Linked DNA regions of Danio rerio. The protein of the gene in region 1 binds, or shares a complex with, the protein of each later gene. Links are inferred from orthologs where the notes say so. Each region holds a gene or a part of one and is shown on either strand. Other genes may lie near its edges. The genes, in order: thoc5, ddx39b, chtopa, thoc2, thoc3 and thoc7.

The links.
Region 2: thoc5 (region 1) and ddx39b share a complex: the UniProt entries of both Homo sapiens proteins name them as parts of the transcription/export (TREX) complex. The link is inferred for Danio rerio from reciprocal best matches to the Homo sapiens genes THOC5 and DDX39B.
Region 3: thoc5 (region 1) and chtopa share a complex: the UniProt entries of both Homo sapiens proteins name them as parts of the transcription/export (TREX) complex. The link is inferred for Danio rerio from reciprocal best matches to the Homo sapiens genes THOC5 and CHTOP.
Region 4: thoc5 (region 1) and thoc2 share a complex: the UniProt entries of both Homo sapiens proteins name them as parts of the transcription/export (TREX) complex. The link is inferred for Danio rerio from reciprocal best matches to the Homo sapiens genes THOC5 and THOC2.
Region 5: thoc5 (region 1) and thoc3 share a complex: the UniProt entries of both Homo sapiens proteins name them as parts of the transcription/export (TREX) complex. The link is inferred for Danio rerio from reciprocal best matches to the Homo sapiens genes THOC5 and THOC3.
Region 6: the proteins of thoc5 (region 1) and thoc7 are in contact, whole or in part, in a cryo-EM structure (PDB 7APK), measured with the Homo sapiens proteins. The link is inferred for Danio rerio from reciprocal best matches to the Homo sapiens genes THOC5 and THOC7. Residues at the interface, in NP_001002877.1 of Homo sapiens: Pro48, Asp51, Tyr52, Tyr55, Cys59, Leu62, Gln63, Met66, Ala67, Gln70, Phe95, Lys99, Leu101, Asn102, Ala105, His106, Arg108, Leu109, Gly112, Arg113, Gln115, Thr116, Ala119, Lys120, Val123, Tyr126, His127, Leu130, Leu133, Glu136; in NP_079351.2 of Homo sapiens: Ala21, Asp23, Ile27, Leu30, Val31, Phe34, Tyr50, Met53, Leu54, Leu57, Cys60, Glu61, Met64, Gly65, Thr67, Leu68, Val70, Tyr71, Asn74, Met78, Tyr81, Ile84, Tyr85, Ile88, Glu89, Ser91, Ile92, Ala95, His96, Lys98.

Annotation. Positions count from the first base shown.
Region 1 is NC_133200.1:4,392,251-4,395,750, reverse strand, and holds part of thoc5 (THO complex subunit 5 homolog), read right to left. Parts: intron 2,565-3,500; coding exon 2,487-2,564; intron 2,374-2,486; coding exon 2,330-2,373; intron 2,245-2,329; coding exon 2,145-2,244; intron 1-2,144. UniProt on the Homo sapiens protein: Component of the THO subcomplex of the TREX complex which is thought to couple mRNA transcription, processing and nuclear export, and which specifically associates with spliced mRNA and not with unspliced pre-mRNA.
Region 2 is NC_133194.1:29,755,195-29,759,404, reverse strand, and holds the start of ddx39b (DEAD (Asp-Glu-Ala-Asp) box polypeptide 39B), read right to left. Parts: upstream 2,801-4,210; 5' UTR 2,718-2,800; intron 172-2,717; 5' UTR 171-171; coding exon 1-170. Other genes in the region: polr1h (DNA-directed RNA polymerase I subunit RPA12), read left to right, coding at 3,322-3,439. UniProt on the Homo sapiens protein: Involved in nuclear export of spliced and unspliced mRNA. Component of the TREX complex which is thought to couple mRNA transcription, processing and nuclear export, and specifically associates with spliced mRNA and not with unspliced pre-mRNA.
Region 3 is NC_133194.1:26,306,949-26,310,942, forward strand, and holds the end of chtopa (chromatin target of PRMT1a), read right to left. Parts: intron 2,619-3,994; coding exon 2,484-2,618; intron 1,337-2,483; coding exon 1,137-1,336; 3' UTR 501-1,136; downstream 1-500. UniProt on the Homo sapiens protein: Plays an important role in the ligand-dependent activation of estrogen receptor target genes. May play a role in the silencing of fetal globin genes.
Region 4 is NC_133189.1:13,039,634-13,043,133, reverse strand, and holds part of thoc2 (THO complex subunit 2), read right to left. Parts: intron 593-3,500; coding exon 464-592; intron 123-463; coding exon 56-122; intron 1-55. UniProt on the Homo sapiens protein: Component of the THO subcomplex of the TREX complex which is thought to couple mRNA transcription, processing and nuclear export, and which specifically associates with spliced mRNA and not with unspliced pre-mRNA.
Region 5 is NC_133189.1:29,777,475-29,781,656, reverse strand, and holds the start of thoc3 (THO complex subunit 3), read right to left. Parts: upstream 2,801-4,182; 5' UTR 2,789-2,800; coding exon 2,609-2,788; intron 547-2,608; coding exon 390-546; intron 74-389; coding exon 1-73. UniProt on the Homo sapiens protein: Component of the THO subcomplex of the TREX complex which is thought to couple mRNA transcription, processing and nuclear export, and which specifically associates with spliced mRNA and not with unspliced pre-mRNA.
Region 6 is NC_133186.1:21,694,068-21,698,295, reverse strand, and holds the start of thoc7 (THO complex subunit 7 homolog), read right to left. Parts: upstream 2,801-4,228; 5' UTR 2,770-2,800; coding exon 2,751-2,769; intron 2,134-2,750; coding exon 2,013-2,133; intron 1,880-2,012; coding exon 1,752-1,879; intron 1-1,751. UniProt on the Homo sapiens protein: Component of the THO subcomplex of the TREX complex which is thought to couple mRNA transcription, processing and nuclear export, and which specifically associates with spliced mRNA and not with unspliced pre-mRNA.

The DNA.
Region 1 (3,500 bases):
TTTTTTTTCTCCTTTGTTTTTTCGGCTTCTCCTTTGTTTTTTTGCACTTCACTCTCACGTTTGCCTGTTTCTGAAAGGATGGGATGTCAGAAGCACTTCAATAATCACACACACGTTATAATCATCAGCTCAAGAAGATTGTTATTTCAAATATAGACACGTGGCGAGCACAATCGAGAAAGAGCAAGTGGGAAAACAAAACCGATCACGAATTAGATAGCCTTGTAAACAAATATGGGCCACAGGGTAGATTCTGCTCTTCTTCTTGGCTTTGTGGCTGTTCATCAAGATGACGACAAGGTTTGTTTGAGCTAGGGTCGACCATGGCATGTTATTATATGTATATCTTATTACAGTGTAATGTCTCGGCTGTGTATTTAAAAATGGTGCTGCCTTTGTTTTCATTCTCCTGGCTTGTGGCGTATCTCTGTAAACCAATAGCGTTCAGTTACGTGTCTTACTCCGCCATTTGGTATTCTTTTGTCGTGCTAGGTACCCTTTTGTTGTGCTTTGTACCCAAAAAGTAATACGGTACGGTTCGCTTTTAGATACCTTTTGACAGTGGAAACGGCCATAAAAGCGTACCGAACAGTACCGTACCATACCACTCAGTGGAAATGGTCCAATAAAGGGACAACACACAATCTAAATCACTAAATGAAACGTAATAGTTTATATTAAATTTAAGTTTATTGTATAAACACAATGAAGAATACTGTTAAAAATAGTGTTGTGTTTTTTTGTTCCTACTATAGATCCCAATGGCTGTTTTTCCAACATTCTTACACCAGAAGAAAGCAAAAAAGTTTTTTTAGCAAAAATATATATTTGTTGTACTCATTCAATGCGCTCTGATGCTGTGTTCACACCAGACACATAACGCACGGATGAATCGCGCTATTCGCACGTAAAAAGATGTGTGAACATTTTGCTTTATTCGCGCGTCAAATTCACTTCACGCGGATTCGCGTTGTGGACAGGGCTTCTGTCTGCCCGGTGACTCTAGCTTCGTTGCTAAATGGCTAACATGAGTTTTATTGAGAAAAAACTGTTTATGCGCTTTATGAAGGCTGAAAAACAGCGTTGATGTGTTTGGAGCCGTGTGTGAGTGCACTAGATGCTTTCAGAGGTGCATCTAGCTCTGTGAGCTCATAAACTCCTCCAGAAACTGAACCTAGATGATGGAGGCTTTCAGCGCTGCTTCTGACTGAGCCGAGCCCAGCTTGATAAACCGTTGTTGGTGTGTGCAGAAAGATTTTCCCCCGGGACACCAACAACAGGCGCCACAAGAGCAAGCTCCTGATTGGTTAACGCGGCGCGAATGTCCGCTGAAGTTCAGATTTTTGAACTTGAGCGATTCGCATCGCACCATTTGCGCGTATTGCGCCATGCCATTCACGCAATTTGCGTCATTTGCGCCCCGCCAGTTGCGCGTATCGCACCGCACGAAGACTATTCACGCGTTTGCATTGACTCAAGTAAAATCACTCGCGATTAATGCTTCTTTCGCGTCTGGTGTGAACGCAGCATAATGGTGCGTTCAATCCAGAAGCAGATGAAGAGGTGATGATCAGGAGCTTACTCTTGTAGGGGCGTGATTCAGACAAAGTCTGTTGTTGGTGTCCCGAGGGGAAATCCTCCTGCTGACACCGGACAACAGCTTATCAAACTGGGCTTGGCTCATTCTGATGCACCGCTGAAAGCTTCCATCATCCAGGTTTCTGGAGGAGTTGATGAACTTACAAAACCTCTAAAAGGTTCTAGTGGACGAAGGCTGTTTTTCAGCCTTCCTAAAGCACATAAAGCACAGCTACTCTCTCAATAAATTCTATGTTAACCATTTAGCAATGAAGCTAGAGTCACCGGGCAAATAGAAGCCCTGCCTATAACGCAAATCCGCATCTATTGTGAAGTCAATTTGACGCGCAAACAAAGCGAATTTGACGTGTGAATAAAGTGAATTTGATGCGCGAATGAAGTAAACTCAAATTGACCCCACGTCTATTTAAACACAAATAGTGTGATTTATTTATGCATGCTGTGTATGGTGTGAACACAGCATAAGTTTACCCAACCATAAGAACTTCCAGTGCTGAGAAGCCCAGAAGTGTAAAGGCTCCCCTGTTGTGTGCTTTTCCTCTCACCTTTACACTTGAGGTCGATGCCGAGAGAGAGCGGGTGGCGTCTCAGCATCTCCTTCCTCTTGTCATCCAGCTGAACTCCTACAGTTGGCCGTCTGCGCTTCTGAACACACGGAGCGGAAACGACAACATTAGCACACATCAGCTAGAAGATAATAAACATGAAGGACTTAAAAACGCAGCCTGACCGTGTTCTGCTGCTCCTCTTCCGCATCTGAATCACTTTCATCATCTGAGACAGAAACGGATGCGAAATATAAGACTTAACTTGAACATCACAAAGACTTGAACAAGACTTGAACATCACAAACATTTATTAAACAGAGTGAACACACACACACACACCTTGTGAGTCTTCAGGCGGTCTGGAAAGAGCTTTAGCTTCATCCACGTCTCCGCGGATGCTGACAGTCAGATTTTTGTCTAGATCGATACAGACAGATTGAGAGAATTAAGCAACTTTTTTAAACAGGTTTCATCATGTTGCTAGCATATTTCTGTGCATTTTTAAACATTTCGCTAATACATTCTAGCATGTTGCTACATGTTTTAACACACTGCTTGTTTCAACGTCAAAAGCATTAAAGCATAATGCATATTACATAATCTAAAGCATTTTAAAGGCGACGCAGTGGCACAGTAGGCAGTGCTGTCGCCTCACAGCAAGAAGGTCGCAGGTTCGAGCCTCGGCTGGATCAGTTGACGCTTCTGTGTGAAGTTTGCATGTTCTCCCTGCATTCGCGTGGGTTTCCTCCGGTTGCTCCGGTTTCCCCCACAGTCCAAAGACATGCGGTACAGGTGAATTGGGTAGGCTAAATTGTCCATAGTGCATGTGTGTGAATGAGTGTGTATGGATGTTTCCCAGAGATGGGTTGCGGCTGGAAGGGCATCCGCTGCGTAAAAACGTGCTGGATAAGTTGGCGGTTCATTCCGCTGTGGCGACCCCGGATTAATAAAAGAACTAAGCCGAAAAGCAAACGAATGAATGAATAAAGCATTTTAAAACAAAATGTAAATTTGATAAAACATGTCTTAATATGTTGCTATCAACTTTACTGTTGCTAGCATGTTTTTATTGATTGCTAACTTTTTAACATGCTGCGTGTTTTAACATCACTAGCACGTTTTCATCACTAGCATAATTTGATAACATTTTATAAAATAATTCTAATGCATATTAAAACCATTTACATTTGATAAAACTTGATAGCAACATTTTCAATAATGGTTTTATGTTGCTAGCATATTTTTTTATACATTGATTATGAGATGCATTTTAACATGTTGCTAGTGCGTCCTAGCATGTGGCTACATGTTTTAACAAAATGTGTGTTTCAACATCACTACCATGTTTTATAT
Region 2 (4,210 bases), on another chromosome or scaffold:
AAATCTCTGAACCCTGAGGAGTGGATGGACACATATGACCCTTTGACGCCTTCTTTCCTGATGGATATGATGCCATCGCTGTGTCCAAGGCCTGCGTCCCCTGCACCACCAGCATCTACCTCATCCTCCTCATAGTCCAACAGCTCGTTATCAACATCGTTCTCTGTCATTCTATGGAGAGAATACATACAATAAATTTAAAACTAATCCAAGTGACAGCACTTCTTTCAGTCAAACATTATTTTATCTTATCTCCTACAATATTAGGTGTGTGTGTGTGTGTGTATATATATATATATATATATATATATATATATATATATATATATATATATATACATATATATATATATATACATATATATATATATGTATACACACGCACACGCACACACACATAAATATATATATATATATATATATATATATATATATATATATATATATATATATATATATATATACACATGGTGTAATGCTGAAAGTTTTTTTTTTTTTTTTGCGTATCAACATAAGAATTGTATTTTTTTCATTCATTAATCTAGGGCTGGGCGATTAATCGTATAGTAATTGAAATCGACATTCCGAACCTATTATGGATCTAATTTTTTCCAGGACACTTTTTTCAATTAACTGCATGTGGAGTCACGTGACTACTCTTTGTTAAAGCTGATTTATACTTCTGCTTTAAACATACTTTTAAATCGATAAGGTCTGACACAGCCTCTGAATGGTTGCATACCCACAAGCCTTTTGAAAAATGTAACTACACATCGCAAGTTTGCATTACATTGACGATGATTGGAAGCTCCGCCAGAGATGTCTTGACATTTCTATTACAAGAAAATATTATTTACATTAAAATATTTGTTTACAAAAGATTCAAGAAATGCACTACTTAAAAAATTATTTACAGGATATACAAGTTTTTTTTATCTAGAAGAGATACTGCTTATTTTCTACTTTTAATATGATAAAGCACTGAAAATAAATTGTTTTGTTTTCAAAAATGCAAGTTATTTAGTTTCACTTTTTTATAAGTAAAAATACTGTTGTATTACTGTTGTAAGTGTATTTCCTTCAATTATTTAAAAAAAGTAATGCACCCTTCATTCAAAAATCTCTCACTTGTAATATGGAACATATTATCTGTGTAAAACTTGTCAGTGAATTGTGAGGGTAAAAAATAAATAAAATAATTGTTCATTACTCGTAATAGACTTAAAATGTTTTATTAATCGAGATTTAGATTTTAGGCCAAATCACCCAGCTCTAGCAATGAGGCAAACATGCTATCTCGATAATTATTTTCCATATTGAACGATAACGATATATATTTTGATATCAGTTGTCAATATGCCAGATTTAAAAGAGTATTCCAAAAATGACTAAAGCCAGAAAAAATAAGAGGGTCCATTGAATGGCGTGAAGTAATTTCGACTGATACATTTTCGGTGGCCGAAGATTCGGTACATTTCTAATATCAACTACGTATGAGCTGGTATAAGATTCTGACGGTATGATAACCTTGGATAAAAATATCCCACTTTCACAACATTGTGATTACTGCTCTAAAATATATTATTTTTAAATATCTGAGTTTATTTCCCATCTGAAAACAATACATTTTATTTTGTAAAACAAAGTATTTTGGAGCAGTAAACATGTCTGGCTAAATAATTCAAATGAATCATTGACTTCTGATGTCTTTATTAGTTTCAAAACACAGATTTCTTTACAATTTATAGCGGCATCTTTGGATATCTTTTCTGCTGGAGATACTGTTGTCCTAAAAAAAAAAAATGTAAATAAAAAATCTCACACATACCTTCGGAACAGTAAAGCAGAACAATTTGGTCGAAATTAATTAAAACCAGTCAAACTATGGTATACCTTGAAAACTGCTATTGTCCCATGCTTAATATCAACGCACGTTTATATTCCCATTGTTTGCACATTTCTGCTGTGTAATATAGATTTAGAGTATATAGATACACAATACAGAGTAAAAAGGTCCAGAGCTTATCATTGTTGTGACATAAATTGTATCGCAATTCGATACAATATCGTTTATCGGCCCAGCTCTACATTAGTCCTATTTAATTGTTATTTTTTTCTGAGAAAAAAAATATGAAATATCATTAAATTTGTTTTACCATGATAAAAAGACACACACTACAATATCATTCAGTGAAACCACAGTCAGAACAAATTTCTCCTTTTGCCAGAAGTTTTTTTTTTTTAAACAAATAAATAAACAAACAAAATTAATTGATTACGGAACACAATATTTTGACATACACGTGATTTAGAAAAGCGTGTTTGCTTAAATTGTATTCGATTATATTTGTTTGTGTAATATATACACAAAAGCTAGAGACTTGTAGCTTTTCAACAACTATTAATCAAGACAATATATTAAAGAATAAAACCCCATTCTCCAGCACTACAATAGCAAAAAAAAACTTAATTCATAGATAATGTTTTATGCTAGCCCACACACCCGTAATTAATCAGTTATGTCGCTTTAAACTAACAAACGATTTAAGACGTAACACATTAGCACTTAGTTAGCTAATCCATTAGCCCAAAATAGGCAGCGTGTGGTCAAAACACTACGACATTACATTGCTGAATGTTTTATGACGGAATATAAAGTGTATTATCACTTCTCATGTCGATTGTGGTTTTTAATAGTATTAAATAATCGCAAATACCTCGAAACACTGTTTGAAGCAGTTGGATTTGACTGCACCTGCCAGATAGATTGTCTACAACGTCATCAACTCGCGACGAATCTACTGTTTTGACGAAGGACCCCAACATGTGGAACTGCCTTGAGTAAAAACCTCTCAGTTTGTAGAGAAGTTTGTATTTGGTTTGTATTTGTTACTATAACTAGCGTACATATCGCAAGATTTTTGCATCTGGTAATATTTAAGACCGCCGTGTTGGCGCTTTTATAAGTAAGTTTCTAGTTTTGATTAACGTTATATAAAAAATGTATGTACGTATGTGTGCGTGTGTAGTTTTTATAGATTATTAATTTATTACAGGAAACTTTACAATACAATATATAATACTGCAATACTATAGTAGTCTCCAATTTATTTTTTAATAAAAAAAACGATTTAAATCACTAGTTTTGGTCAAAAACCAATAAACTATGGGTAGTGTAGCAAAACATGGTGAGTTTGTAGTTCTTACGTGATTTACTAAAATTACCATGTTTTTATATTATTTGTGTTATTGTACTATGGTTAATTTTTGTTATTGGTGACTAAAGTCTAGTTACTAACATTTTTTTCTCTCCTTTAAGAAATGTCGTGTTTTAGAGGAGATGTCGACTTTTGTCCTGAATGTGGAAACATTCTTCCACTACCCAGCAGGCTGAATACTATCACCTGCCCACGATGCTCCTTCAAAATCTCTGTTCAAGGTGAGAGTAAGATTAATATGTCATAAGTAATTTATATAATATTTTATGAGATTATATATTGGCCCTGTTTCAGAAAGGAAGTTAAGTAATAGCTCAGAGTATGTTTAACCCTGAAATGAGAGAAATTTTGGGTTTTCCGTTTTAAAATGGCAGGTTTGTCAAACTCGAGAAAGCAGGGTAAGTCAAGCCTGTTTCTGAAAGAGAGGTAACTTTGACTTGGTTGTTGCTAGATCGAATATGTTTACGGCTGGAAGGTGAAGAGAATTATTTATATTATTTATTAAATCCCCCGTTTATTGTATTTTATTAACATCTACCCTCACCCCAACCCTAAACTCAACCAACAAAGTAATGTAGAAACAGTAGTTGTACTGGGTATAATTTACGTTACCTATTAAATTATACAATAAATTGTATTTTTTAACGCCTTCCCCCAGCCCAACCCTAAACCCCACCGTCACAGTATTGTACAAATATTCATTATTGTTATACAGTGTCATAACAAAATGCTGCTATATTGATGTGCAGATCGCACTTTCGGCCAGCCGTGTATCCGATCTAGACTTTACCCTTTAACTCAGAGTCAGTTACCGTGGTAACTTACTCTATGAACCTAACCTGGTCAGGAGCCGGTTTTATTCTCTAAACTCTGAGTTTCTGTTGGTCTCCTCCCCTTTTTTAAAGACAGAGTGTATTTCTCACCTTGGCCTTGGTCATTCATTGCCTACATTTCAGTCACACAAAGAACATGGTTATGAGAATGGCTTGTAC
Region 3 (3,994 bases), on another chromosome or scaffold:
GAGAGAAATGCAGCATGCACAATTTAAACATTCAAATGATTTTTTTTATTACCAAATAAGCAGAAACAAAAGTTATACATTTTTTAATAAGCATACATAAACCACTTTTGTATCTACTTTTTAGACTAAAATTAAAACATGTTGGAGAAGAGAAAAAAAGAAGAAAAAAAGTGAATACCACATGATCATTCATGTTAATGATGTCTAGAAAGAGGGCATCACAGTGGCACAGTAGGTAGCACAATCACTTCACAGCAAGGTCCCTGTTTCAAGCTTCAGCTGAGTCAGTTGGCATTTTTGTGTGGCGTTTGCATGTTCTCCCCATGTTCACATGGGTTTCCTCCGGGTGCTCTCGTTTGCCCCAGAAGTCCAAAGACATGCGGTACAGGTGAATTGGGTAAGCTAAATTGGCCGCAGAGTATGCGTGTATATGTATGGATGGATGTTTCCCGGTGATGAAAATGAATGTCTAGAATGATAATGTCCTCCAGAGCACAAGATCTTATTAGCCAAGATTTATTCGATGCCAAAAGAAAAAAGAAAAAAAAGTTTGTGGGTTACAATATAGTTAAAACATTTTTTGACAAAAACAAGACTGTATGTAATGAATAAAAGTTCTACCTTAAAAAATACTAAATAAAAATATAATAATAAAAAGGTAAGTGACGTGTAGAACATTACAGTCATTAACATCTGTTCATTTACACAAGCCACATTTTTACCACAGAGTCATCAAATGTCATTTGGAGTTCACTGTTCACACATTTAGGCCATTTTCAGAATTTCAGCCAAAAATAGCAGAGGTACAATCTCTTATTACAGTTCAATCAACAACAAAATTCCTTCACTTAACAGCCAACATTTTTCCTAACAGGCCCTCTGTTTTAGAACTATAACTTGTGATGAGGATTTGTGATTGTATTCAGAAGCCGCGAGTGAAAACTCTCAAATCTCTGAATGTAACTGGGATAAATTCATAACTTTGTACAAACTTCAAGTCTGAACGCCTTAAAATGTAAATGTCTTAGGGAGTGTCCAACAGCAGCGGAAGCTTAAACGGTACTGGATGATTATGTCATCGATCAGTCTATTATTTGCAGATCTTTGGGAGCTGCTGTGTCTCAGCTCAACAGGGTCTACTCCATACTCTCAGGATCTGCCTGGGCCATATACGCATCCAACTCTGCATCCAGATGGCCTTTGGTTTTAGACATGTACGCATCAAGCTGGTTGTCCAACTGCTCGCGTGTGACGATGGGACGACCTGCTCCTCTGCCTCTGCCACGTCCACGACCCCTTCCAGCAAACCCTCCACGGCCTCTCATACCTCCACGGCCTAAGAGAGAACGAAATGCTTTAGTATGGTGAGATGGAAAATGCTTTTTGTATGGGTTTCACTGATTAGAGCAAAACTGAAAACACTACTAGCAGGGTTCTTACACCTTTTCCAACTTCAAATTCCAGCACTTTTCAAGCACTTTCAAGGTGCATTTGCATGCTTTTCCAGCACCTAATAGTAATAATTAATTGCACTTATACATGTTGTATGTACTTTTTCACATTTAAATACATTGTGCTACTTTAAAAACCACACGATATGACATTTCAACTTAAATTGAGTACTTTAGAGCATAGATTTATTGGGATAGTTCACCCAAAAGTGATTAAAAAATAAATAAAAAAATGTTCAGTTATTGGGTGAAGTATGTTTTTAAGTTTGGCCTCTTTCTACCTAAAGTTGATATCTTAAGAAATGAGCTTACAGTCAGATTTTGTTTGGGTGTAGTACCAAACTTTCAGGACCAGTCACTATTTTTTTTTTTTACAGTCTTTGGTTTTGCATTTCAGGTGCAAAAGATGCATTCTGGATGAATGTCTCCAAAATACGTATGAAGCTAATAGTGCCAAAACTATCCGAATTTGAATTGTTAATTTGAATTCCTAAAAACGTAAAACTTTATTTTTACATACCCAATATCTGCAGTCTTATTTTTACATACCCAATATCTGCATGAATTCAGAACCCAAAAAAAATCTGAAGTTTAAAAATGTCTATAAAAATCTGACTTCAAATATTAAGTTTTCAGATGTTCAATAATCAAGTTAAGAAATACAAATTCAAAACTTTTTTTAATAGGACATTCAGATTCAGAATGTTTTGGCTTATTATTAGCTCCATAAATACGCGCATGCGGTGAACATTTTGCAATGAAAACTGGTCGCACGACAACAATTTATGCACTAGCACACATGCTTCCAAATATATTTCGAGGTCACATAGATAAAATCGTGCGCATATGCAACCAAAACGGTCACAATTTTGAGCCCTTTAAGTTCAAATTCAAGCAGGTTCAAGCACTTTGTTCAAAACACAAGCACTTTTCTAACCTTAAAAACACTATATTAAAAATCAAGCATTTTCCAGGATTTCCAGCACCCGTAAGAACCCTGTACTTGGCAGAATTGTGCTTAATATTTCTCACCTCTTCCTCCAGGCATTCCACGTGCTGCACCTCGACCTCCTAGAGCTCCTCGTCCTGGAGCTCCTCCCCGATGACGCATCCCTCGGCGGAAACCCATGCGTCCAGGACCACCTCTACCTCTCATCTGACCTGCACCTAGGAAAAAAAAAAAAAAAGAGCAATCTTTTCACAAGAAGAAAAGAAAAAACACTTGTGGGATGCATGCAATAGTTCTCTTTAAGCAGGTCTGATCATATATATATATATATATATATATATATATATATATATATATATATATATATATATATATATATATATATATATATATATATATATAGAGAGAGAGAGAGAGAGAGAGAGAGAGAGAGAGAGAGAGAGAGAGAGAGAGAGAGAGAGAGAGAGAGAGAGAGAGAGAGAGAGAGAGAGAGAGAGAGAGAGAGAGAGAGAGAGAGAGATTTTGCTGCTCTGCCAGTTAAAGCACATTTGCGAACGTTCAATGACAATCTCAGTCAATTGTAATCATTTGTTATGATTCAATTTGAAATATCCACAACCATCATAGAGCCCCAGGGATTGGAGAAAGTGTGGGTTGATCTCACCCTGGTCCAAGAGCTATAACAGGGTATATGCAAGAATCCTAAAAGGTAATTTCAATACCTTTTTAAAACGGTTTAAAAGACCTTCTCGGAATATTTTAAGACCTCATCACTACTGCAAGTGCTAATCAGTATCAAACCTTTAACTTAAAGTTGCAGTAGGTGATCTTCTACAATGCTAACAGCTTAGCATAAATCTCTGAATCACAGTGCCTCCCCTGCCGTCTAAGAGCTACGCCTCCTGAAACACGAGCACCGCAAAAGAACCCTCTCTCATGTGTTAAAAACAACTAGTGCTTGTCCGGCGGCGTGCAAGCCAAACTGACATGCGATTTTAGAGGGAATATTTAGAGTTGCATGGTAAACAATATAGGGAGAGACTAGGCGTTTAGCTGTATTTACTTGTGTTTAGTTGTTAAACTAAATAAAATGTACATCATCGATGCTGTAAAAGGTCTCTTATGAAACTGAAAATAGTCTCATCAGTCCTTCATCGAAATATTTTAGTAGCTGAACAACATTTCTGTTAAGATTTAACCCATTTGTAACAACGTTACATCAGCTTTGCGTGAAGTTAAAACAGTTTTAAAACAGAACATTACTTGTCTAAGAGAAATCTTTCAGACATGTTGTCATCCTTTCTCCAGCATGCAAAGGTAACTCCAATACTGATTCAGGTTTTTAAAAAGTTTTGATTCAGCATGTTTTTACCGATCTCAGTCGGCGGAGATGCGTACAAACAGCTGCGCAGTTGTTCAAATCTGCATTTGCTTGCAAAGAGATTGTGCTACTTATCGGAATTGAGAGATGTCGGTCGGACTCCATTTAATAGGATGAACATTTTTTTGTTTTATGCCTTACCCAAAATATAAAAATACATATAAATACATTTAGATCATTTACTGTAATCATTACTATTAGACTGTGAAGAGA
Region 4 (3,500 bases), on another chromosome or scaffold:
CGCTAGCTCTCGTGCTCTTGGCAGCAGGCAAAACAAATTTAAAAGATAGGCTTACTCATTCCATTTTCATCTTTGCGGCGTTTGGCTTCCTGGCTCATCTCGCGATCGCTGTTCAAGTAGTCCTATAAGCGTGAAGGGAGAAAGACAGCACAACTTAAAATAGTGCTTTTTAGGCATACTAATAACTGCTGTAAAACTCTTAAAACATGAGGGAATGATATGGCATCTGGACCAATGAAAGAAATATGCTGGTGCATGAGCATGAAGGTCAAGTAATTTAAATAATGTATTTAAGTGTGAATTAAGCTTTCACAAGTGGGATTTGCAATGTTTTGCTTCAATCACAAAGCATGATTCAGCAAAAGGCTTTATTGAGAATTTGTTGGTTTAAGCCTTGTAAAATGTCCTGCTCAATAACATTTGTGATGCTTAAAAACTGCTTCCTCCAATACAGAGGACTTACTCGTTTTCGGTCCTTCCGGTCTTCTTTCTTTTCCCTCTCTTTGGAGCGGTCCCTGGATTTATCAGACTCTTTCTTCTCATCATCCTTCTCTTTGATCTTGGACAGGACTGTGGTGTGGTTAGGATGGTGCTAAAGGACAGATGCAAAGATGATAGAAGGTTAATGTCTTACAGATGGAGCACACTAGCCCTCACAGTGGCCTGCTGCCTTTCATTAGCATGCCCCATTAGAGTTGCACCTGACAATCTGACACACCGACAGGAAGTCCAAGCACTCTATTAAAAGCTCAAGGCCCCTGCTGAACTTACATATGCAATTATTTCATATGACTCACATCAGAGCTACAATGCGCCAAAAAACTGCATGTGAAAAGTGTTCAAGAATTGTGCTAGCTAGCATAAAATCAAAAAACAATCTGTCAACCATTTGGTTTTACACAACAACGCTGCTACTACCATCTATGAATGCATCAAGTTATTATTCTTTAGTAATCAGTGACTTTCAATAAAAAGTGGTATTTAATAAACATGTATAAAATGCTGCAGCTTGATAAATTAGCTTCATCCAAATGGCCTTTAGGGTTATGGGCACAAAAAAAAACACCTGATCTCTTCTAACATGATTAACTGAGCAGTATCTTAATGTAACATTTCAGTGCTCCCCAAGAATAAAACGTATATCTTCAGAAAATCTGCAAACTAGAAAAACAATAACAACATATTCTGTAGGAACTGTACAACAGAACATAATAAAGGTTTTAAAACCTTGACCTTTCCAAACCATCATCCCATGCCTAATTACAACACCACAACTATGTGAACATCACAGACCAAGTGCTATCATGGCCACAGGACAATCACACACTTTTAGAACCGTAGGCATAATTCACCAAAAAAAAAGAAAAGAAACTTACTATTTACCCTCAAGTGGTTCTAAACCTTAATTAGTTTTATTATTCTGATGAACATTAAAGCTATTGTGAAGAAAGCTGAAAACCTGTAACCAGTGATCTCCCTAGAAACAGAAAAAAAATGAAAGCCAAAGGTTACAGGTTTCCAGCTTTCTGGAAATATCTTTATTGCAGTATAACAGAATAACATCCAATATTTATCAGCGGCAGTTGTGGCTTAATGGTTAGAGAGTTGGACTTGGGATTCAAAGGTACATTTTGGCTACTTTTTTTTTTTTCTTTCAATAATATTAAGTATGAACATACTACTCCGCTCATGCTCACAGACATACATACATATACATATATTTATTCAACAGTTCTGATTCTTGAATCTCATTGGCTAAAAGCCATGTCATGTCGGCATCCATCAGTCTGTCATTGAGTGAGCAAAAATGGTTGACATTGTCCATCCATAAGATGGCAACAGAGACCACATAACTCCTTAGAGGAGGAAAGATCAGCATATTTTCAAACTACAGCTGATCAAAACTTTCTAAAATTAGTGAGTGACATTCTAAGTCAATCTCTCTCTTTTTTTATGTTGCGGTGCTCTATTTATACCATAGTAATTGCAGTAGATTGAGTGTGATGGGACTCACATATCAGAAATGTATGCAATTTTGTGTTGGCCACTCTTCGTATAACCCCAAGTTACTTTTTGGTTGGCAATCTGTTTGTTTTTAATGAGTCTCCTGTTTTTGTTACTGCAGACTAGTTACAAGAAAGAAATTGCTGCATTTGTTAGCTTTTCTCCTTATCGCAAACACAACAATAATCTGGTAGTGATTGCGTTGCTTTGGCTTTTGCAAGGTTAATTATTGTGATCTCCCTTTTGCAACCTAAAAAAACTGGCAAATGTCTCTAAAACTAGACCGATGGCCTTTTATGCTTTTCATCCTTATAATCTTAAAATGTGAGCTAAATCATGTTTTGTCATCCCCTTAGACATTACGCTAGAGAATCATTCAAAAACTAGCTCTAAAGTGACGTTGGTGAATTAGTAAACGGCTGTTCTGATGTCAGCTGCTGATGTGAAGGAATGGCGGAAGAAAGTAGTTCCCCTTACAAAAGGATATTTAGACTTGATTTGCTGTTTTATATACACGATTATGCTGTCGAGCTGTTGTAACTCATAGTAGTGCGATGTGGCTGTACATCGTCACTGGTGGGAGAGTAAGACACATGCCTCCCACCAGTGCCTATGTACAGCCTTATCTGCTACTCGTGTGATATTGCTCATATATATATATAAAAGATTCAATAATGTAGGCAAGTATGTGGTTTCAGACGAACTGTAATATTTTGCACATTTTGTATGTCTGTCAAACACACCTGATTCAGACAAACTCTAACTAAAAGTTAGATGCCATTCAAAATATTTACAAATGTAGTGGAGTAAAAAAATACAAAATGTTCAATACAAAATATTTAAAAATGTTGTGATGTACACATTAACTTTAATACTCAGTACAAAGTAACCCAAAATATACTTAAGTAAAATAACCTATTACATGTACTCTAATACTTTACATTAAGGATTCCAAACCTTTTAGGCCATATGCCACACCAAAATTGTGTAATTTCACTTGCATCTACATGTAAACCCGAACTGTAAATCATCCTCCACTGTCACTTATTTTGCCAGTGTACACTCTGAATTCTCTCAGGTTGAAAAGCCATACTTTACAACACTATATCTATTAATGCCTTGACCTCCAAATTCACCTGACTGGAACCCAACCGATACATTTTTTGTTGGGTTCTCACTACCAAACTGTAATGTACAGTAACTGGAGACCTTTTCTGTTCTGTTCTAACTGATATCGGATAAGTCATATTGTTACCACCTCAAATTAATGCCTCACTGCAAAGGTGTTCACAATGCATCGCAGCCCTTACTCAAAAATCAGCATATTGTAGTTATCGTGTGCTACCAGTAGCACACGATTACTATAATATGCTGATTTGCTGCTCAAGAAACATTTCTTACTATTAACAATGACTTTCTTCTGTATTTGTGTGTATATAATTAAGTAGTAGCATTTTTCAAGTTTATTAAAATCACTTAATACTCTGTCATTTAAA
Region 5 (4,182 bases), on another chromosome or scaffold:
GTTACAACATCATCCTTGTTACCTACAGCGATGGTCTGACCATCAGGACTCCAGCAAATGTTGATATTCTCCCCTAAACATAGTCAGACAATCAATAAACCAATAAATAATATAATCTCACAAGAATAAAACATATAACATTGAAAGCCATAGCTCAATCCTCAAGAGTTTCTAAAGTTGAGTTTATTTTGTCTGTTAAAAACAACAGAAGATGTTTAGAAAAATGTTGGAAATTGCCATCCATAAAATGAAAAACAAATACTACGGTAGTCAATAAGTAACGATTTCCAATGTTCTTTAAAATGTTATATTTTGTGTTCAATGGTGGGTAAATGATGAGAGAGTATTCATTTTTGTGTAAACTATCACTTTAAGCTTTAGAGCTTCACCTTTTGTGCTGACTGTGGCCATGCATTTGGTGGTCCGCACATCCCAGATGCGGATGGTCTTGTCTCCTGATGCAGTAACGAACAGATCAGGGTTGGTGGGATGCCAGCACAGCTGATCCACACTGTCTCCATGCCCACGGTAGTTGTTTTCCTTCACCTAATACATATGATAATACATGAGCTAGATCACATCTAGTCAAGACAAATAAATTGTAAAATAATAAACCGCATTGTAGCCAATGCTGTGAATATTAACCGTTTTTTCTGATATAGAATAAGTATAGTAATGTTTTTGGCAAATGGATGACCTATAAAAGCTTGTTATTGCAGCTAAAACATAATTAATATGCATAATGTCAATGAAATGATAAGTAATTTTGCAGACATTAAATTAATTAGTAACTTGATTAGGTATTTGCCATTGACTTCTGTACAGGTCTGTCATTGAGATGTCACAATTGTCACAAGATGTCAGTTTTCACAATGTATTCCGATTGTGACAATGTTTATAAACTGGTAGTAATTCATTAGCTACCGATTATCATTAGAAACTAGTTCTTATTCATTAAGTACATACTGAAAAGATACTAGTACATACAACGCCATCTACTCATGTTTATTATATCTTTATTTAACTAGCACATGTTTAATTGAACACTTATACAGTCATCCAAAATAGTCAAAATGTGACAAGTAAAAATAAAAAATAAAAATCAGTAGTGACTCGTAATACTAGTAGCAACTCATAACAACTACATAAAAATACTTGTGCCAAATAAATGAGTACTAGGATACAATAAATAACTACTAGCATCTGTTAAAGAGGTACTTGTAATAAGAATGAGTTTCTAATAAATGATGGAGTATCTAATAAGTAAATACTGCTTTCTAAATAAAAACAAAGCATTTATTAGATATGACAGTACAACTTTACAATAAGGTTTCATTAGATAATGAGGTTACTATAATGAAAAACAACAAACAGTATTTATACATCTTTGTTAATGTTTTTTACTGAAAATAAGCCTCATTGTTGGTTCTTGCCAACTCACAGTGCATTTACTAATGTTAACAAGTGCTGTTTTGCATCAGGAGATGAGCGCTGTTTTGCATCAGGAGATGAGAGCTGTTTTAGATTTTTGTAGGCATGGGATTGTAGGTATAAGATTCTGACAGTAAGATAACCTTGGACAAAAATATCCCGGTTTGACGGTATTGTGATTACTGTTCTAAAATATATTATTTTTAAATGTCAGGGTAAAAGACTAAAAACTTTTTCCCCCTTTGAACACAATATATTTTATTTTGAGAAAGACTTTAAATATTTTAAAACAGTAAACATGTAAAACAAGTTTGCATATCTTTTCTGCTGGACACACTGTTGTCCTAAAACAACAACAACAAAAACCATAAATTAAAAAAAATCGTACATATACCATAGGAATGGTATAGAAGAAAATGTTGGAGGTTTTAAAACCTTGACTTTTCCTAACCGTGGTATACCTTGAAAACGGTTATTGTCCAATGCCTGAATGGAAGTGCTGTACAAGTTTTGTTTATTATTAGGTTATGCTGGTAAATTAGTTAACATTATCAATGGAACCTTATTGTAGAGCGTGATCACTTTGTGTGTCTAACAATTATACACTAGTACATATTGAAAAAGCCCTTATTTCCAATAAAATCCACCCAAATATCAGTACTTGCAGAATAACTAGTCATAGTAAAAATATGTACTAGACAATTATTAAAAACCTCACATTCCAATAACAGACTGCGATAGAAGTAGTTACTTGACACTTTTGAAATAAATACTAGTATGAAATAAATGAGAACAAGTGTGTGATGATGAGTAAATAGTATTTAAACAAAAATATACTATTCATACGTGTCTAATTAATGAGTAGTACCTATTTAATAGCTACGAGTGTCTAATTTATTGTCTAAAATGAATCTAAAATTCATCTAATGAAAACTAACTTGTAGTAGTAGCTAAATAATAACTGTTGGCTAAATATCAACAAGTGTACTGAATACGTATCAGTACTTAATGAAAAAGACACACATATCTAAAAATAGGTATTAACGTTAGTAGCATAAAACTGATACTAGTTTAGTTTACAGATTAAATGTTAAACAGCTTGTTCTACGCAGAACGTGGTTTATAAATTAAATATATGTTTTGGACAACGAAGGATGATGGAGAAGACAAAGCTCACCAGTCGGTCTTTTTCCAGGACAAATACGCTGGCAGTTTTGTCAAACGAACCGGACGCCAGTCGTTTTCCATCACAGCTCCAGGCCACCGAGTGCACTTTAGCACTGTGAGCCGGGAACTCTCTGCTTTTATTGTTATTCCTGAACACCTCCTGCATCTCCTGATAGTACGAGGACGCCATGCTTGAAGTTCTGCTTCGTCGCGTATTTAAGCTTAATCTGTGGCATTGCGTTACTTACCGACACCTAGTGTACGGGAGTGCAATTACATAATATTGTTTAAAAAAGTCTGATACAAATAACTTTCTTTTCTTTTTTTAGTTTTATTATTGTCAGGGTAACAATAACATCATCATACATTTGTTACAAAGAGAGCACATGAGTTTTACAGAGAAGTAAAACATCAAATAAGCACATACAAGGGAAAAAATTTACTAAAAAACAAACAACACATATTATAAAATCATGTGTTTTAAGGAAGCAATAGTTTTAATGTACTGTTGAAGTTCCTTTTCAAAAATATTAAAACAAAATATAGCCTAGAGTGAGAGAATTTACAGCTGTGTATATGGAATTTAGCAAGGATTAAAAGGAGATTAATTATGAAACACTCCTTACTTTTATTATCGGGAATATTGAAAAAACCCAACAGGATATCCTTAAAAGATAACACGAATTAGTATTTTGCAATGAATAACCAAAAAAAAGTTCAATCCAAAAGCATTGTGCATGAGGGCAAATAAAAAACAAATATATGATCAGCAGTTTCACTAGGGATACAAATCTTAAATTTAAAATGATGATATAAAATGAAAAAAAAATCACAAAAGTAAACATTATGAGATAAACAGTTAACAGTGAAGAAATTTTATTATTTTTTTTTGTAAAAATTGCTATTAGGTTAAAAAAATGACAAAATATGAAAATGTGCTAATTTGTTATGAATGTGATAAATAAGTTGAAATGATGGGGTAAACATTGTGAGATGAAAATCCTAAATCAAATAATGGTCAATTAAGAGAAGGTCAAAATTATATTATATCTCATAAAAATGAAACAAAAGGTTTGTATTATGCCAAAAGTTCATATAAGTGTGAAGTACAATCATAGGTCTACCAAATCTAAGTAAACTAGGCTAGGCTATAGGCAAAAAGCTTTGAAAACATTGAGATAAATAAAAATGTCAAAACTGTCAAATGTCAAAATCATGGAATATGAGCTATATATAATTTAAGCCAAAAGCCTCATTTATAAATCAGATCATTTAAACTTCAGTCAGTGGCCTACTGTGTTTTATGTTGTTTGTTAAATTGTCTTCTCGTGTAATGGAAGAACTCAAAGTCAGGTCACTGTGGTAGGCTACTTTGGATGGTTGTAGGAACTTTAGAAAGTCAGGAGTAGCTACATATAAAAATAAAGTTTATTTTCTGTGTACTTTGTGTAAGTAGTTTTGTCATCAGTGTTTTTGGTAAAGAGGACATCAGTTCGCGGGCAGAGTCCATGGTCAATCCACGTACAGCGCTGACTCCCACTGACCACACGGCGGAGCTCCATCCTCCTAATAATATCCAGTGCA
Region 6 (4,228 bases), on another chromosome or scaffold:
ACAAAAAAATAATAACTATAAAAATACAGAACACTCAGCAAAATAATGCCAAATTCAAACTGCATGATTTTAGCCCTGATTTTTGACTCGACAACAGGTTTCAAGAAATTGCAAAAAATGCCTGAAATCACAGGCAAATAGGTACTCATTCACGCAAGTATCAACCACACAGTATGAACTATCAAAGACACAATCGGAGAGAATCGGTGATGTGTCGTAGACACATGTGAGATATTCAGTGTGCTAAACAGCTGGATCTGTCGACGATTCAAATCATGCCGTGTGAAATCTGCAGGCCAGCGGGAGGTTGGGGAACAAGTTAAAAGTGCTTCTATTTTGTCTATTTGGACCCCAAAAAATGGAGGAACAACTAGTGTAAATTTGGCAGGAGCACCCGTTTCTGTTTGAAGTGTCATCTGAGCAACCGGGTCGAAAAAGAAAAAGTTGAGGAGAAATTGCTAATTCCTATTAAAGGCCAAGTGAGCAAAATAAGTAAATTTTCTACCCCACTAAAGGCTTTATTCTCATTATATAGTTCATGACAAAAGATATACTACATTATTTCCATGTCACTTCTTCTGTGCTTGGTTTTGAGATGTAGTTTGTAGACCGGGACAAAGTTGTCGCCAATTCTTCCTATTCTAAATCATACAGTGTGAACCCCCCGTTGCCAATCCATCTTGCAGGGTAAACAAAGCAGCGATGAAATACTACCCCCGACAGTCATACAGGGTGAAAACATCTGTGACATGACTACTTTGAAAATCATGCAGTCTGAACTCGCCATAAAAATCACTGATAAAAGGCAGATTGAAAAGTTCTGATTGAAAATCAGAATACAAAACAAAATACTGCACTTTTGAATCCAACTTGATTCGTGAACAAGCTGAATTTTATCAGTTAGCCAGTTAAATCAATTCACAAATTGCACTGAACAATTAATTTGCGAATTGGATAGACATGTTTACGAGTCAACAAATAACTGATTTGAATGATGTTTTCAGTCTGAGTATCTCCCTTGAATGATTCACTGATTCAAATTATTTGATCAAAGAGAGTCTACGATAAACAATTCACAGATTTAACACACTGATCTGAATTTGGTGTAGTTTTGTAGCCACCAGAGCAGAAATGAAGGCTGCAGCACTCTGTATCATTTTCTATTATGCAAGGTTATTTTGCGATATTAGAAATAATTGAAAAAGCTTACACAAACACCCACCCTTTTATCCTGTAGGCATGGGATGATAACCGTTTTCAAGGTATACTGCGCATTGGAAAAGTAAAGTCCTAAATTTCTGCTTTACTCTTGCTACGGTATAAATAGAGTTCAGAACAACAGTATCTCCAGCAGAAAAGATATCCAAAGAGGTTGTTTTAAATTGGAAAGAAATCAATGATTCATTTTGAATTATTTAGCCTGGCATATTCACTGCTCCAAAATACTTTAAATCTTTATCAAAGTAAAATATAGTGTTCAAAGTTTTTGTTTTTACCCAGACATTTAAAAAGAATATAATTCAGAGCAGTAATCACAATACCATGTGTCCGTGATATTTTTATCCAAGGTTATAATATTGTCAGAAACATATACCGGCCCATGCCTAATATCCTGCCCTCAAAGTAATATTTAATATAGTCAAAAGATGTAGATTAAAACAATGAGTGCAAACAGGAATGTGTCTCCCTTGTCAGCATATAATCCAATCAACCCAAAAGAAAAAAGCAGGGAAGTCAACAAGAAGTCTTACCAATATCGGTATAGATTCCTTCATAATTCTCCATTTCTTTCAGGTTCATGTTGTACACAAGCAAGGTTTTCCCCATGGAGAATTCACACTGAGCCAAGGACATCATCATTCTTTGATACTGAGACATCCTGCAGACACATATGAATGATAAAGTAATTACACCCAAGGTCGTGGTAACTAATCAGTGGAATATTTTAAAGGAAAAGAAAAAAAAAATCTTATCAAGTCAGGTATATAAAGTTAAACCAGAATGTAAATTACCCCTCCTCTGGTGAGAAACTGGAGTGGCACCATTTGGTGAAGCTCTTCATGAGCACATTAATGCGTCTGTCATCTCCAGCTCCATCTCCATCGATCAGAAGACGCTTCCGAATAACCTCATCTGTGAGGGAGGAGACATAGATATTATTTAGTCTAAATATAGGTCTAAATAGCATAGCACAGATATTATACTGTAAATTGTATTCAGTGACTAAATGTGGAACAATATATATATATATATATATATATATATATATATATATATATATATATATATATATATATATATATATATATATATTCTGCTTGATTATTTTTGAAACAAAGTAAATCTCTAAATTCAGCAAAAAATCAGTTTATTTTCCAACCTTGATGCTTGATTTAACTGATTGATCCAACATTGAAAAGTGTCAGAAGGGTGCCATCAAATTTTCATATTATCGTATTTACATATTATACTTACCAATATATTTTATATCACTGTAATGCCTATCCAAAACCAAAGTCAGCGTAATAAATTATACTTATACATCTTGTAACTTGTTTTAGTTAATCAGTTTTAGCATGTGGCTAACTAACTGTTAGCTAAGACTCCTCATGTAGACATTTCAAAGGAGTTCGTTTAGTTTCCAGGAAATAAAAACATGGACGTACGCTACTGTAATAATTCCTTCAGATTTGCTACATAAATTACAATTACATGATAGTTAAGAAAAATAAAACAAAGGAAAATCTTACCATCAGTAATGCTACCCATTCTCCAGCAGGCTAACTGGACTGTTAGAAAAAACTTTATTGTCAGGCGCGCGCGGACACGCAAGGCATCAGCGCCCCGCCTCTGTTGCGAAGCAAACCCGCCGAGCTCACAACAGTTTTCTGAACGGCTAGCTTTTACTTTATTATTACAAAGTCATTTAAATGTTTTGCTGAAAACTCGTTTTAGACTAGTCGACTGATAGCGTGTCTTTCAGAAATACTGTATTAGTAGGTAGTTAGTTTAGTTTTTGACAGTATTGAGAAATGAGATTCATTTTCGCGAATCGGTTCATTTGAACAGTTCGTTTTAAAGTGTGGTTCCACAAGACTCGTCAATTTGTTTGAGCAATATCGTCAGTTCAGTTATGAATCATGATTTAGCTTTTTAAAAATACATTAGGAATCTGAAAAAGTTTTAAGTTAAAAACTATTGTCTAGTGTCATTTATTAGGCAAATAACAATCTAGCCAGCACATTCAATTTCTTCAGTCAGAATTTGGCCATTTCAATAATAAAAAATAATAATAATAAAAGCTTTACAATTTTCTAGCCTTACATGTTAAAAAGTGCATTTGAAAATTAAGGATAACAATAGCCTAATTAGTATTCAAATCAATTTTACTATAGGCCACCCTTTTTATTGCTCATTTTTAGTTTCAAGATAAGTTCCAAGATTTAGAACAAAAGTTACTTGTAAAACGTTTTCTCTGTTTACAAACAGTAGCGAAAGATGACGTCACTTATGTCAGATTGTGTGATTTCCTACACAGCTAGATGTTGATCATCAAAAACATTTGTTAGCATTGACCAAGACTGATTTGCTGAAGTCACACCGAAGCAACAGCCAACAGAGGATTATGCCTTTTTAATTGGTTATTTTTACTATTTATGATGGCATGTAGCAGTCAAAATACGACATATGAGCTCATGAATGGGAAAAATTCTGCACATTTGTCAGTAAGGGTTTTTTTTTCTGAACCCCCTCTGGCTACATAGGCTACATATAACATAGTATATTATGAAATAATAAGACGTTTTAAAATCCATCTTTCTTTTGCTTCGTCAGTTCAGTTTGTGCCATTATGATTCAGTTTATGAATACAAAGCTTTTTACGTAGATATGAAAATAATTCAACATGAATTAAAATGTGAATTTAAATATTTTAAATTTGCTTGACTGAGAATGAGGTAAAGTTGATTTTAGGACATCTTGGACATTCTCCATAATAATTTTATTATTATATAATAATTATATTTCAGAAAGGAATTATTTGCAAAAAAATTCTATGTAATCATACAAGGTATACCTGTAGGTCAGGGTTTCCCAAACTTTTTAACTCGCGAGCCCCAAAATAACAATGCCAGTGACAGGCAACCCCCAATATCCTCTGAGGTGGTTATAAATATATAAACCTTCTACACATTGGTGCACACATAGCAATAGACCCAAGTCTATTCAT